Linked DNA regions of Lonchura striata. The protein of the gene in region 1 interacts with the protein of each later gene in a biochemical or structural test. Links are inferred from orthologs where the notes say so. Each region holds a gene or a part of one and is shown in the gene's direction. Other genes may lie near its edges.

Region 1 (7,851 bases):
ATCTGGCTTCAATAATTTTAGTAAGTGTAAGGCAGTCTCCATGGAAACCAGTGCATCCAATGACAGTTCGTTCTGTTCTGAAAAACGTAAAATTTTGTTGCAATATTAGGCTTAGCATGAACTACAGCAATTTCTGATACAGCAGCTTATTATGAAAACACCAAATGTATTTTCAGTTTTTCTAGTGCTGTCAAAAACAGTTGTCTAAAATGTAGTAACAGATCTGTGGTGTATAAAAGGCACCTGCAACCTACATCTTGAAGAGGACTCAATAAATGCAGGACCACGCAGATGTCTTTCTTCAACTACTTCCTTCTTCAGCTCTCAGCAGGACTGACAAAAAGAAATTCTTCATTTCTTTATGCACTCCTGACTCCAGCTGTAGCAATTCAGTCTTACTAGAAGATCTGTTATACACTGGGGAGCCACAGATCCTATCACTCAGTCCAATTTTTACTCCATCAGACCAGAGGGCTGCATTAAGCTTGTACAATGGTTGCATGACATTTATGGTTTTGGTGGCTTCTCACAGCACAAACAGAAGTTACCTGGCTGCAGATGCACTACAGAAGCTTAGCTCTCTGCTCAGTTTTGAAATGTTTTATGAACACTAACCATGGGAACACACACTTGAAATTTTAATTGTAGGAAACAGAAAAGAGTCTAGAAATATTAATACACAGTGACCTACCCAAAGCAGTCATTCAGAAAATATCTTAAAACAAAATCTTCTCTCAGCCTGTCACTAGAATTACATAAAGCCATTGTGAGCAATATGTATACTGTACCAGACTAATCTCCATCTGGACAGTATCAGAGAATCAAATATGTAGTAATAACAAGTTAGCCAGGAGAAGCCAAGTTATTTTGACTTCATGTCATCAATCTAGAAAAATAAACAATAACCCACACAAAAAAAAAAAATATTTATGTAGTTGATGACAGCCTACAAGGCAAGCACCTGCTGCAGTAAAATGAACATAAATAACGTGTAGCTGTAAACCAAGAAGATGCTACCCAGGTGAGTCAAACTAAGCATAAAATGAGACTAGAAAGTTCAATTCTGGAACTACTAATAGGTTTACCTCCCCTAAAACAAACACCTCTCTAAGTGCCAGGTAGAGAGATACAGTACAACTGGCAGCAGTGGGCACACTTACATACCACCACCAGATCTCCTGATGAAGTAGAATGAGTTACCATATAATTAAGTTTTGCTATAGTTAAGTTAGGAATTCTTCTGATTATCCAGCCAAAAAACTCCATGTTTAAGTTTGTTTCATGCGAAAAATGTTCTGTTCTCACTTAGCTTCAAAAGCATGAAACAAGAAATCTGGCTATATTTACAACATCACATCACATCTTGCATTACAGCAAAGGTCACCACAACTCCAAAATCTACGGTGTTACTGTGCTTTTTCTTCTAAGAATTCTGCTTAAAGCAAGAGGCAGATGATATGGTCAGCAAAACAAAAGATTTTTCGTCTTTTTCAATCCTTGCAGATCTGGACTTACAGCTTGTAGCATTTTGGGCTGTCCCGGGAGTGAATTGAATAGCCTTCACTCAGACGCGTGTCAGAGGCAACGATACAAAAGTCTTCTCCAGCAATCGCCAGCACAGTCCTTAAAAAAAGAGTACGGGTAAATCATGGCCTTCAGCACAAGCATCTTCTCAAGTAACACAGAAACAAGCTAGATAGTAATTCTACACCCAGACTCATGTTCTGTCAAGTATCTTATTCTCCTTGCTATGTTTCCCACTATGCACATCCCTACTCAAGCCAAAAAGAAGAAGACACTAGACAGACTGAAGAAAATATATACATGTGGCCCTCTACTCTGATTTAAATTGTAAGGCAACTTGGTAAAACAGAGACTCTACACCAGGCAAGAACCAGACCAAATGGATGAGGTATTTTATATGCCTGATAAAACAAACAAAAATCCTTCTAAAACAAGCAAAGTACTGAGCAACTGTATCACTACACTTAAATAAACGTCACTTTTAAAATCTGGTGTTATTACTTGCCAACAACCAGTACTGTGATCACCACAGGTGTACTACCATTAAGTAACAAATTACTTAATTTAAAAAGCAGTAGTCATTATAAGAAAAAAAGCTTACCTGGCCAGATCATGCCACCAACTCAGGTGTGTTAAAACAGTGTTAAAACATCACTTGCCTTTAACAGTTTACAGCAACGTAGCATTCAACCCAGTAACACGTTTACCAGCAGCATGGTAAAAAGCAAAGGCCATAAACTAAAACACAAGAAATTCCACCTCAACATCAGAAAGAACTTCTTAACGTTGAGGGTGGCAGACCATTGGAATAGGCTGCCCAGGGAAGTCGTGCAGTCTCCCTCTCTGAAGACATTCAAAACCCACCCGGACACGTTCTGGTGTCACCTGCTCGAGGTGACCCTGCCTTATCAGGGGAGTTGGACTGGATGATCTCCAGAGCACCCATCCAGCCCTAACAACTCTGTTACAGGATTCCGTAACAGGACCATTACCTGGCTTTCCTAAGCCACTATAAAGAAACAACCCTGCGGGGAACAAAAGATGCGTACTTTAAGACCAGTCGAAGTTTAGGGAGCCCGAGCGTTCCAAAAGCCACACGGACAGGCAAGAACACCCCGAAAGGCTGCAAGGCCTCAAGGCAAGCCCAAGCCTAGCTCCTCCTTGTGCTGCCGCCCTCTCCCTACGAGGAGGAGACCGTGGGGGGAGGTAAACCCGCACTGGGCACCGAGGAGAAGCGGGAGTAAGGCGAGGCAGCGCCAACCCGGCGCGGCTCTCCGCTGGGCCCATGCCCGGGAGCGTGCCCGTCCCGCCCGCCGCCTCCCGCGCCGCTCACCCTCCGTTGAAGGTGTACGGCGAGAAGCGGTGGTGCTGCACGGGCGCCTCCAGCCCGTAGCCCGCCTCGGGCCGGGAGAGCCCGCGTCCCGCGGTGGGCAGCATCGCGGCCGCCGATCGCTGCTGTCTCACGGCGAAATGGCGGCACCGGAGGCGGAAGCGGAGCCGCCCTGGGCGGGGCGCGCAGCGCCGCCTCCTCTCGGTGCTCTGCCGGCCGGAGGGCGGCGGCGCCGCTGCGGAGCGGAGCCCGGCCCGTGCCGCCTGCGGCGCGGTGTGTGCCTGGGCCGGCAGCGCTTGGACGAGAGCCGTGCCCGCTCCTGGAAACACGCAGGCTGGTCGGGAGCACCAGTCGTGATTGGGCGGGTGGGCAGCAGCGTGGCTCCTGTTCTGTAGGGAGAGCGCCTTTGGAACCACCGTGAAGAGAGTGGGAATCAGAATCATCAGATGGCTGGAGTTGGAAAGGACGTCAAAGATCATCTATCCTGTCATGGGCAGGGACACCTTTCACTAGACCAAGCCGCTCAAAGATCCATCCTGCTTGAACACTTCCAGGGATGGGGCACCCACAACTTTCCTGGGCAACCTATGCCAGTACTGCACCACCCTCACAGCAAAGAACTGCCTCCTAATATGTAATCTAAACTCTCTCTCTTTCAGTTTGAGGCCATTCCCCCCTGTCCTACATGCTCTTGTGAAAAGTTCCTCTCCACCTTTGTAGTAGGTCACCCTGAAGCCTTCTCTTACCCAGGCTGAATAATCAAAATTATCTCAGCCTTTCCCTGTGCTTCATCCCTCTAAGCATCTTGGTGGCCCTCCTCTTGACTTGCTCCAACAGGTCCAGGTCTTTCTTGAGCTGGACACAGGACTCTAGATGGGGTCTCACCAGGTCCTCGAGGTGGGCCATGGGTTGTGGTGCCAGGCACCATGGCGCAACTGGAAACAAGTGGGAAGGGCTGGGATAGAAGCTCGAAGAGGTACTAGGGGAGAAGGACAGGGCGGGGACAGTGAGATGCAGGGGACACATGGTGCTCCTGAGGAAAAGTGTGTTGCCCTGCTCAGGAAGCACAGCTGTGGTGGCTGCAGTCTCCATGGGCACTGTGCAGACACAGCAGCAAGACCCGCAGGTGGCTGCACAGCAGTGTGGAACTCTGTACAGCTCCAGTGTGAGGAACCATAGCTCCTGTGAGGGCCTGGTGCACTGCCAGGGACCCCCACAGATCCACAGAATTTGGAAGGGACCACAAGGGGTCATCTGGAGCAACCTTTTTTGCTCAAGCACCTGACATACGGTTGTGTCCAGATGGTTCTTGAACATCTCCAGTGAGGGAGATTCCACAACCTCTCAGGACAATCTGCTCCAGTGCTTGGTCACCTGCACAGTGAAGAAGTTCTTCTTCATATGCAGGTGGAACTTCCTGTGCATCGGTATCTGCCCATTGCCTCTCGTCCTATTGCTTGGCACCACCAAGATGGGCCCAGATGAATCCTCTTCACACCCACCCTTTAAATATTTATTCACATTTATGAGGTCCCCTCTCAGTCGTGTCTTCTCAAGGCTGAACAGGTCCAGGTTCCTCCGCCTTTCTTCATAAGTGGATGCTCCAATCCTTTATCATCTCCGTAGTCCTCTGCTGCATCTGCTCCAGGAGCTCCATGTCTCTCCTGCCCTGAGGAGCCCAGAACAGGACACAGCACTCCAGACGCAGCCTCTCCAGGGCTGAGTAGAGGGGCAGGATCGACCTGCTGGCAATGCTCTTCCTAATGCACCCCAGGACAGCACTGGCCTTCTTGGCCACACGGCACTGCTGGCTCGGGGACAGCCTGTTTGCACCAGGAGCCCCAGGCCCTTCCCCACAGAGCTGCTTCCCCGCCGGCTGGCCCAGCCTGTGCTGGCGCCCGTGGTTACGCCTCTCCAGGTGCCTCTCCTGCCCTCGCCCTCGATAATTTCCGACGGTTCCTCCCTGCGAAGTCTTGTCCCGCCGGCGGCGGGAAGTGACGCGCCGGGCGCGCCGGTGGAGCGGGAGCGGGGGCGGGGCGCGGCCGGGCGCTGAGCGCGGCGGGAGCGGAGCGAGCCGCAGGTACCGAGTGCCCGCCCGGTACCGAGTGCCCGCCGCTCGCCCCTGCCCGCGGCCGGGCTGGTGGGGCGCGATGGTGTGGGGCAGGCCGGGCCTGGAGGGCGGGGACGATGCGCGGGCCGGGCTCGCTCCGCACCTCCGGGGCGGCCTGAGCCGCGGCCGGGGGAAGCGGAGGGGCTCCCGCGGCGCGGAGGCGGCGGCCGCCTTTCTCTCCCCGGCGCGGCTCGGGAGCGGGAGGCGGCCGAGGCGCCGGCCGCGGGATGGGCGCGGGCAGCGGCGGGGCCGGGGCCGGGGCCGGGTCGGGTGGGGAGCGAGGAGGGCTGGGGCGCGGGCAGGCTGTGGCCGCACGCCGAGCGCTGCTGCGTGGCTGGTGGCGAGCCCGAAAGGGCCCCCGGGGGTGGGTCGGGGCCTCCTCCGGGCTGTCTGCGGCTTCTGGACTCTGTTCCCTCGACCGAAACGTCGCCCGACGTTTGTAGTGGAGATCCGAGCAAGCCGCCTTTAGTGGGTAGAGGAGGGACTTCTGCGTAGACCGTGCCCTGGGTGCAGGTTTTTGTATGCCTGGTATCCAGCCTTTTTACTAAATAGCTGGGCTGTCGAGGAGTTGAGTTTGTTTCTTCCAGGATAATATTTAGGCCTCTAATGTTCCCACGTTGTAAAACCTGGGTGGTCTTCTTGATACCTTTGGTGATATCTTAAGGTCATGGGTGGAAAAAAGCAGACCTTTCTAGCTGCAGTGTAAATATTAATGTAGTTCTGAGTTCTCATATCTTAAAAAAAAGAGAGGCTGCATAGGCTGTCTTTGCATTTTGAGGTGGCCTACGTCTGGCCTGATGTATTTGATGACCTTGAGTATCTCTTAGCAATAGTTAAAAAACTTAAAAATTAATGGGATAATATTTTATATAATTGGTATAATAAAATTTAAATCATCCACTTCTGTTTATTTCCATAACAGAGCAACAGAAGTGTAGTTAGAAATGAAAGAAAACCATTGTATGTCTCACTTGCGTACTTGAAATTTGTTTTCACATATTTCTTTTTTCCTCACAAAATGTATGTCATTACAGTTTGAAATCTGTCAGTGCTTTGTTTTATGGAATTGGATGGAAGAGGTTTTCCTAGCTGTGATTTGAGCTGTGATGCTCTTCTCATAGAAGAAAAAAAGTCATTTTTGAAAGCACAAGCCTTAAAATAGCCAGGAAGAGACTACAAGCAATGTCAATTAGTAGCCAAGGGAATTAAATTCTAAAAAAATCAGTGCTTTTGCAGCTGAAGCGAAGCTTGGAGTAGAATGAGCATCAACAGCTTGAGCTGTTAGTGCAGGAAGGTTTGGTTAGATAGAGGCCTGCTCGTGTGAGTCAAGTGACCTGCCAGGGACTTCAGCAGAATCATACTGCAAAGTTTCTATGGAGTGTGCCTGAAAAAGGTTATTTTTATGGATTGTGCATGTGTGTGTGCGTGCGCGTGAATGTTCTTATATGTATTTGTACGTGGGTGTCTCTTATCTGAGTCAGCAGCTGATAGATTTGCTTTTGGGTTTGTGTTTAGATATTATTCTCAAGATATTACTTTTTTTTTCCAGGCTCAGGACAGTGTTGTAGATCCATATTTCTCTGAAGCTGATGTTTTCCTAATACTTTCAGCTTGGCTTTAAAAGCTACTTCGCTGGAATGTTTTAAACGGTTAAAAAACCTCTAGGATTTGAATTTTATTTAAATTAATTGAAGGAAATACTTCTGGCCTCACCAAAGAAATAACTGGAATCATGGATCAGAACAACAGTTTGCCACCCTACGCTCAAGGCTTAGCCTCCCCTCAGGTAAAAACGAATTATTTAAAATGTAACTGTGATCTGAATTTCCTTTATGAAAGTGCTTTCTCTTTCTTATATCTACCTTCACAATTTTTTTTTTGTTAACAGATCTGAAAAATTCTACTAGGTATCGAATAATACTAGTATAAAGCAGAATTTTGAAACCATTGATGTCTATATTCAGAAGTATAAGAAACACATGGTTTTTTATACACTGACTGTAAGAATATATGTGGGATTTCTTAATGGGGTTCCTCTTAAGTGGAAACATGACTGACAAGTTGGAAAGATTTAATTTAATTTAGGTGGTTGCTGCTTAAACTATGTACATAATGGATTATTGCTGGGCTATGAGTGCAGTGGGTACAGTGAGCACAGTTGGTGTTCAGGCAGTTTCAAGTTAAATTGTGGGTCAAAGTTGAGACACACTTGCAAGGTAGTGTGAGAAGCACATCATGTTCCCTAGATTCCTTTGGGTAGTACTTTATTCTGTAGAACAGCTGCATTTCTGAGGATTTTCTAATTTTAATGATTTACTACTATATGCTTCAGGTTTGATATGAGCAACTTGGCTAACATAGATTTATTTTTGACTCCTCCTGAAAACTTTGTCTCTTAAAAACAAAATGGAGTAATGGATCTGTGGCTTTTGTGTCTTGTTTTCTTCTGCAGGGTGCAATGACTCCAGGAATTCCAATTTTCAGCCCGATGATGCCATATGGCACAGGACTGACACCGCAGCCTGTCCAGAGCACCAACAGTCTGTCCATATTGGAGGAACAGCAGCGGCAGCAGCAGCAGCAGCAAGCAGCACAGCAATCCACGTCACAGCAAGCGACACAGGGAACATCTGGTCAAACCCCCCAGCTCTTCCATTCACAGACTCTTACCACAGCCCCTTTACCAGGAACCACACCTCTGTACTCCTCTCCAATGACTCCAATGACTCCCATAACTCCTGCAACACCAGCATCAGAGAGCTCTGGCATAGTGCCACAACTACAGTGAGTGCCCCATGTGTTAGTGCATCATGTCTTCTCTCAGACAGGCTTTTAAAGACTTAGGACCAAAGTCACATCGGGAATTAGGTACTGCATTTTGGTGGGA
Region 2 (7,394 bases), on another chromosome or scaffold:
CAGTAACAATAAACTACCCAAACTGTAAAATATTTATTGAACTTAGGATAGCATGGATAACTGCTAGACAAAACTAAGAAATTTACAGGGTTTGTACATAAAAGGTTTTCAAAGGATATGAGTTATTTATGGCTTCATAAGATGGGGTGGCAAACAGAGCTGAGTTAAAAAATGGGAAATTCATGATAATGGAAATATATGCTGAAGAAATTAAAGTCCATGGCTACCAAAAACAAGGTGGTTGTACAACCTTATACATCAAGGCTGATCACTTATACAGAATATCTGTTTAAAATGGAAATAGGCAAGAAGCAACACTTCTGAACAAGTCTGTGCCATCTCATGAGATAAAATCCCTGAGATTAGAAAATTACAAGAAGAGAAACACAAGTTTTCCATCTCTCTTTGTCATATCACGAGCCTCTCATTCAGAAAATTGTCACAAATTGACAATATTAAATATGATCAGAGGTAATGAAATCTAATGAGATAATTACACAGCTCTGGTGACATTGGGAATCTTTTAGATGCTGGTGATTTTCCCTACCTAGTGGTTATTGCAATCCTGTTTGATGTTGAGAAATTGAAGCCCATCAAACATTTTTCAGAAATGTTGCTGCTGCATGTTGTGGGTGGCAATGCTTTGCCCTGATTTGTCTCTCAGAATCCAGCACTTCCTTGGTATCTGAGGTGTTTTTAAACTACTAGAGCTATCAGTCAGCATCCAGCCTCCAGCACTTATTGTGAAGAACTTAAAAGGAAGGCCATGAACAAGTTGACTTTTTATTAAGAGGCTTTCATAACGTTATGCAGCTACTAAAAAACTTCATTGGAGTAAAAATAAGACAATTAAAAGCCATGAGTTGGCATGGAAACTAGTGAAAAATAAATACACCTTTAAATAAAAATCAAACAGAATAGCAAGAGACACTATTAGTTAGAAACAAGAGAATACTCAACTAAAACAATTTTCAGCAATAAGAACTCTGATTTTGACAACACTACTAAAGAGGGGCCTAACCTACAGAGATAAAATGTCAAATAAAAACAAGGAAGATTAAATAATACTTGAAGAAGAAGTAGATAAATGTATAAAAACAAATAAGAATTTTAAAGTTTAAATGTTGGAAATAGTCTACAAGATATCTAGTTTGCAGACCTCAGAACAGATAGCATTCTTAAGAAATACATGTTATAAAGAACCTGAACCATTTTCCTGCATAAGTTCATACTGTATAAATGTATCTCCCAGATTTTTTTTGCACAGATTATCAAAATAATAATAGAGATTAAGACACCGGCAGAGAAGCTGTCTAAGCAAACTGCTAAGAAGGGGCAAGCTTCTAAGACTAACTTGTCTTCAGACAAGTTTTCCAAGGGAATTTGGAAATCAAATAACATAGACACTAAAATACATGTAAGCTATTATGAAAATAGTCTTTTTTTATTAGACTAGAAGGCAGCAAATGTTATACCTACCACTACAGAGAGGCTGATGTAATCCTGAGCAGTACAAATCTTCAAATCTTCAGGACACAAACAAAACTAACTGGAAGTTAGTCCTCTAAGAGTCTAGAACATGTAAAAGATTATGTTATGTCAGGTCTAATCAGGAGGGATTCCACTGAAAAACGGTGTCTCAGTCATCTGCTATTTGCACAGCTGGAGCACTTGGAGGCTGCACCTCTTTCTGCCTGGGCTCTGGCAGCCAACAGGGCACAGACCCGAGCTGCTGTCACTGTGCATCTGCAGCCTGAGCAAGGAGCTCACAAGTGAACACAGCTGGCAGGAGGGAGAAAGCAAAATAAAACCAGTTGAGATGGATGCAGAAAGTACTCATTAAAACATACCAAAGGAGTGTAATTACTGAGTTTTATTTAATTTAGGAGCAGGTTGGAGAGAGTATACTGGCACACAACAGATTTTCAGGGGGGGATTCTTTTAACAGAAGAAGAAGGAAGGAAATGTATAGGTACTCCTTGAAAAATAGGTCCAAAAAATGCAAACAAAATTGGTGTGACTTATAGAGGTGCTGAACAGATGCATGGACAAAGAAGAATTAGTTTTCATAGAGTGTAGGGAAATAATTGAGCAGAAGATACAAGTGAATAGTTAAATAATGATGTGCTTTATATAAATATCACATCAAAATACAAATATATATGGTGTGATACTTGAATGAATTGTGTTTGAGTCCAGAATGCCTGCTATAACAGATCATTCTTTCTGTCTTTTGCAGATTGTTTTGCTGGAAGTGCAGTTTAACATAATTTCAGCAAGTACTCAGTGCATACGACCCACTACCAATATTTTCCCTGCATTTATTTTTATCAGGTAGGAGCTGTTCAAAACATTTTATTGCATATTTGATGTGTCCTCTGCCTTGACTGCTATTAAAATTGTTTTTAAGGAATGTAAGAGGAAATAGGATGTTAGAATTGGAAATACCACCTGAGGATCATTTCAATAACGTCCACAGCAGGACAGGATGGCTGTTGATTCCTGGCTAAACAAACACGGAAATACTATCAGGGATGTTTGCTATGCATCCATGTCAACAGCATCAAACATACAAGGAAAATATCTCTGCCCTCAGTCTGTTGCTTGCTGCTCCCTACCCCAATTCCCTGCTTCCCTCCCCATACTTGTCTAAATCAAACATGGACACACACAGGACAGGAGCAGGCATGTGCCTGGGATCACGGGCAGGGACCCAGGCAAGTGCACCTGCAACACGAGGATATGGGATGGCAGAAAGGAAGGTGTGGGGAGTCTTTGGAGTACTCTGGTGAGTGGCTCTTGTCCTCCAGCTATACCCACTGCACTTTTTGTGTGTATTCAACTACAGAAGGTATACTGAGCTGTTTAAAGGTAGCTACTGCATCAGAGCCATGACAGGCAAAAGGCATTATCTGGGTCATTGAACTGTTGTCACTGTGACAAAACCCACGTCCACCACTGAAAAACAGGTCTGTAGTTTGCTCTGGCCACACTCCGTGCTCAGAGGCCTCAGGCTGACTCTCACTGCCACTGTTTGGGGCCACTCCAATGCCAGTTTTCAGTTGCCACAGTGCTCCCACCAAAGGACAGGAGGGACAGGCAGGAAAGCAGCATGCCTGGCATAGTTTAGGAAAGGCTGAAGTATAGGCTGGACCTGCATGGGTAAGGATAGATTGAAGCATTATCCCAGTGTCTTCAGAGAACTGTCAAAAGCCAGTGATAATGCAGAGAGCATTAGGATGTTTGTTTAGAATATGTGCTCGTGCAGACAGAATGAGTGAGCCATACATGAAGAGTTAACTCTCCGAGGAGAGGGAGACCAACCAGAAAGGCTGGGGCGAGCAGAAATCCCTTTAGAAGGGTTGGGTGTGAAGCACTCACACCACAATGGGCTTCAGAGGAAAACTTTATCATACAGCACTATGCAAATTTATGTTTATCCAAGTCTATGCCATCACAGGAAAAAAAAAATCCATTATTTTGTTTCCAACTTATCACATGAAAGGTTACCTACGTCAGCTAACTTTATGTACCAGTCTGGGACCATTAATTTAAATGATTAGTCGAAGGCTAATTTCTTAATCTGGATCTGATGGAAGCTGATAGCGAGCACTTGGGAGCCTGGTGTGCCTGCCCGCGACAAGGGGCACTGCCGGGATGGGTTCCAGGGCTCTTTCAGCATCGCCGGGCCGGGAGGACGGGCCGCTGCCCCAGCCGGAGCGACGGCTCAGAGCGGGAAACAACGTGGCCCCTCACAGAGAAGCCGTGACCGGGCCGGACCAGCCGCCCCGTCGCTGCCCGGCGTGGCTGGCGACGCTTACAAACCCTTGGGTGTTCCCACGCTCGTGTGCCACAAGCCCTCTGCAGTGCCAGCCCGCTGTGTGACAGCCGCCCCTCACTGCGGGGCTCCGGAGCGGCGCCCGCCCGCAAGGACGGCGGGGCCCGCGGCCGAGCCCGGCCAAGCGCGAGGCATGCCGGGAGTTGTAGTCCCACCGGCAGAGACTTCGCGCCGCAGCACCGGGCATGGCCGATGGACAGCGGACCTCGGCAAGAGCGGGGTGCGGCGTTGGTTCAGCGACTACCGACCGCCCTGTCCCGCCGTGTTGGCGAGGCAGAAGGGTTACCACCCAGTAGACATGGAAGGAAAAGCGTTTACTCCGCGTTCTCGTGTCCTTTTCTCCTCTCAGGGTTCGGGACTGGAACTCTGTCTTTTGTGTTCTTCCCCCCCACCATCGCCGTGCAGGTGGAACGCCCCGGCAGAGGCCGGCACCCCCGCCCCCCCACCACAAGCCGGCCCGGCGGGCTCCATGGCCGATCCTGCTCAGTGCGGGCGCTGCGCGCTCCCGCCCTCCTTGCTCTTAGAAGCGCTCCCGCCATTGGCTGCGGCTGGACGCTCTTGCCAATCAGGAAGCGGCTCTCATGGAGGAAGGGAATAAATACAAGATGGCTGCTCATATAAAACCAGGCATTGGGCTTCGCCCCGGTGATGGGGGAATCGAGGCTTTAACCCGCGCTCCGAGGGTCTTTCGCCGCTCTTGCCCACGCCGCCGCCGCCCCGCCCGGGGGAGCGACACTCCGACCGCCGCCGGGCTCTGCCGCGCTCAGCCGCTGCCCGCGGATCGCCGGCGGGGCCGAGGCCGGGTGCGGCGCCCCAGGCCCGAGCGAGGCCCAGCGCCCTCGGCCCGGGCAGTGCCCCGGCCCCCCCGTCCCGCCGCCCGCCGTCAGCCCGGCCCGGCTCCAGGCGGCCATGGCCGTCTCCAGGTCGGTGGGAGCTGGAAAATTGGGGGGAGTTAGGGCCGACAGCGGCGACTCCCGGCTCTCCGTGTGGCCTCGTGTGGGGGAGGAGGAGGGGTGCCCGCTTTCCGTCTCCTTTTGCTTCGGGAGCCTGCGACCTCGCTGCGGCCGCCCCGCTGGGGCCCGGGGTGCCTGCATGCTGTGGCGCCGGGCTTGGGTCCTGGCCGGGGGTGAGCCCCGTGCCCCCTCCCTCCCTCGGGCCGCAGGGGCTCTGCCTGGGGCGTCTCGGGCTTCCTCCTGAGTTCGACACCTTCGTGTTGTTGGCCAGTCTTTCCTAGGGTGATTAAACTGTTAGGGAATAGGAAGTTACGATATTGAGTCCCAAAAACTGGCGAGAAACCGTTTTTTGCGTTTTAGAGCCCTTGGTTGTAAAGTAACCAAAATGAAACAGGCTTTCATGGAGAAAAGTGATCACGGTATTCTGGCTCTGCCTCAAAATGTTGGGCAGTATCTGCTTGCACACATGTGCTCTGGGGTGTGCCAGCTTTTAAAGCATTCACAGATACAGAGGTGTGTCTTAACCGAGCTACAGAGCTGTTTTATAATAAAAAATGCTGACCACAAATTCCTGCTTTTTTTTTTTTTTTTTTTTTTTTTTTTTTTTTTTTTTTTTTTTTTTTTTTGTGTGTGTGTGCGTGAAACGGCCGGGTTAAGCTTCCGAACAGAATAATTGAAAGGAAACCATAAATCCAAATTAAGCTTGTGATAGATTAGCTCCAAGTCACGTGTTGTAGTATCTCTACCTCCAAAGTGCTATCACAAAAGTAAATTCTGTTTCAGTAGCTGTGTGTGAATAAGTTTGCAATTCTATGTAGCAAAGTAAAGGTGTGCATATTTGTAAGGAAATCAGAATTAATGTCAGCAATGCACCTTTTAGGGGCTTCTAGTAGCAGGTATAACAGATGATTCTTTCTGTCTTTTGCAGATTGTTTTAAGCTTTGTAGTTTGTACAAAGTATCCCTTTGTTTTATTCTACTCTTATTTTTTTATGAACTTGTTATATGTTTGTTGTGGCTTTTTCTCATCCCCCAAATCTGTCCAGAAGAATGTGGAAGTAGTAAGGATTGCTGTAACAAGATTACCGTGTACATTGAAATAAGTCATCATGTAAAGTAGAGGAGTCGTCTAATTACATGAGGTCTGGTCAGTCTGCTTAACCACCTTTGCTGATGTACATGTGATATAGAGGCTAACAGGAATATCAAGATAGAGCGTTTCAACTGTGTGCTGAGGCTGTGTCTGCTCTAAAGGCTGGTTTCCATTTCAGTTGCCAAGGTTGCTTTGGTGGAAAACAGCAGTACAAAGATTTAGTTAACACCGTTTGGGAACTGAAAGTAAAGCTAGATGTGGCTCATTCTAAGATTCAGTGTGAAGCATTGGAAGTTGGTATGTTAATAATAGTGTTAGATGTTGCTTCAGATTATCGTTGTAGTATCCAAATGTTACACAACTGAACACAAGGTATTGAACCTCAGGAGAGGTGCTGTAATACTGGTGAGTTGGTACAGAGTTGTTTCAGCTTCATTTGTAACTTAGGTTACAAGCTGAAAAAAAAGAAAGAAGCTTAAAAAAAAAATACACATTTTGGAGTGCTGTAACATCTTGAGTATTCCTGGTAAGCACCAATGTTAATATAATTGTAAGAAGTAATGATGTGTAAATTTTGTCTGTCTGTGTCCCTTTGAAGTTAGACAGCATCTCCTGATAAATGGAGTTTCCTTTCTGCTGCTGGACCATAGGAACACTCATACAGTGTCAGTACTGCTTTCAGAAAGAAAGATACCTTTCCTCACCTTTTACTTCAGAACATTGAACTTCAAAGGTCCTTCCCTTTCAGACATGTTACAAATAGTTTGTGCACTTGTGTGTATAACTGCATAACTGCTTTTTGTTCGGTTTAGTTGGTCCAGCATCTGTTCTAATTCCACTTGTCCTCTAGGTAGTTACAGTTACTGTATTTTACCATAATATTTCATTGTTGAATGCCTCTTACCTGTACAAGTTTGCAGAGTGAGGAAGAAGCTGACTCAAATTCATCTTTCTCTGAAGTCCACAGTCCTTGGAGTGTATACCAAGCATTACTATTAACAATAATTTCATTAGGGGTAGTTCTATATTGGAACAACTCTTTTAAAAATAACTTATTTTGGAAGTGAGGGTCAAAATAGTTTTACATTCTCAAAACAATAAATTATCAGGTGGTTGTTTTCTCAGGAAGTTTTGTTTCTGCTTTTTGACCAGTTGAAAACCTTTCACAAAATCCTAATCTGTTCAGGGAGATAAAAAAAAAACATAGGGAATGCTTTGAAATCTCCACATTAGATTGAGAATTTGCAGCTTTGCTATTAGTACTGTCATCTTAAAAGTAATTGTAAAATATTGACAAAAAAGTCTGATATTTAATTCTGCAATTTATGTTACATGGATTGAAGACCTCCTTCTATAAAACATTTGTGTTGATGCTGTAGAAAACAGACATAAAGCGAAACAGTAGATACCTCATCCCAAAAGAAGTTGCAGAATATTTGCATTGTATATGTTGATCTCTTTGGTGGTTTATGCTGGAGAGACTAATGAACACCATCCTCCAGAATGGTGAT

What was found. The genes of interacting proteins can lie anywhere in the genome.
Region 2: the proteins of TBP (region 1) and BTAF1 form a complex in vitro, tested with the Homo sapiens proteins (2 studies listed by BioGRID). The link is inferred for Lonchura striata from reciprocal best matches to the Homo sapiens genes TBP and BTAF1.

The regions. Positions count from the first base shown.
Region 1 is NC_134605.1:42,585,786-42,593,636, forward strand, and holds the start of TBP (TATA-box-binding protein), read left to right. Parts: upstream 1-4,838; 5' UTR 4,839-4,934; intron 4,935-6,513; 5' UTR 6,514-6,696; coding exon 6,697-6,750; intron 6,751-7,416; coding exon 7,417-7,748; intron 7,749-7,851. Other genes in the region: PSMB1 (proteasome subunit beta type-1), read right to left, coding at 1-77, 1,516-1,623, 2,858-2,961. UniProt on the Homo sapiens protein: The TFIID basal transcription factor complex plays a major role in the initiation of RNA polymerase II (Pol II)-dependent transcription.
Region 2 is NC_134609.1:17,469,720-17,477,113, reverse strand, and holds the start of BTAF1 (TATA-binding protein-associated factor 172), read left to right. Parts: upstream 1-4,289; 5' UTR 4,290-4,747; coding exon 4,748-4,761; intron 4,762-7,394. UniProt on the Homo sapiens protein: Regulates transcription in association with TATA binding protein (TBP). Removes TBP from the TATA box in an ATP-dependent manner.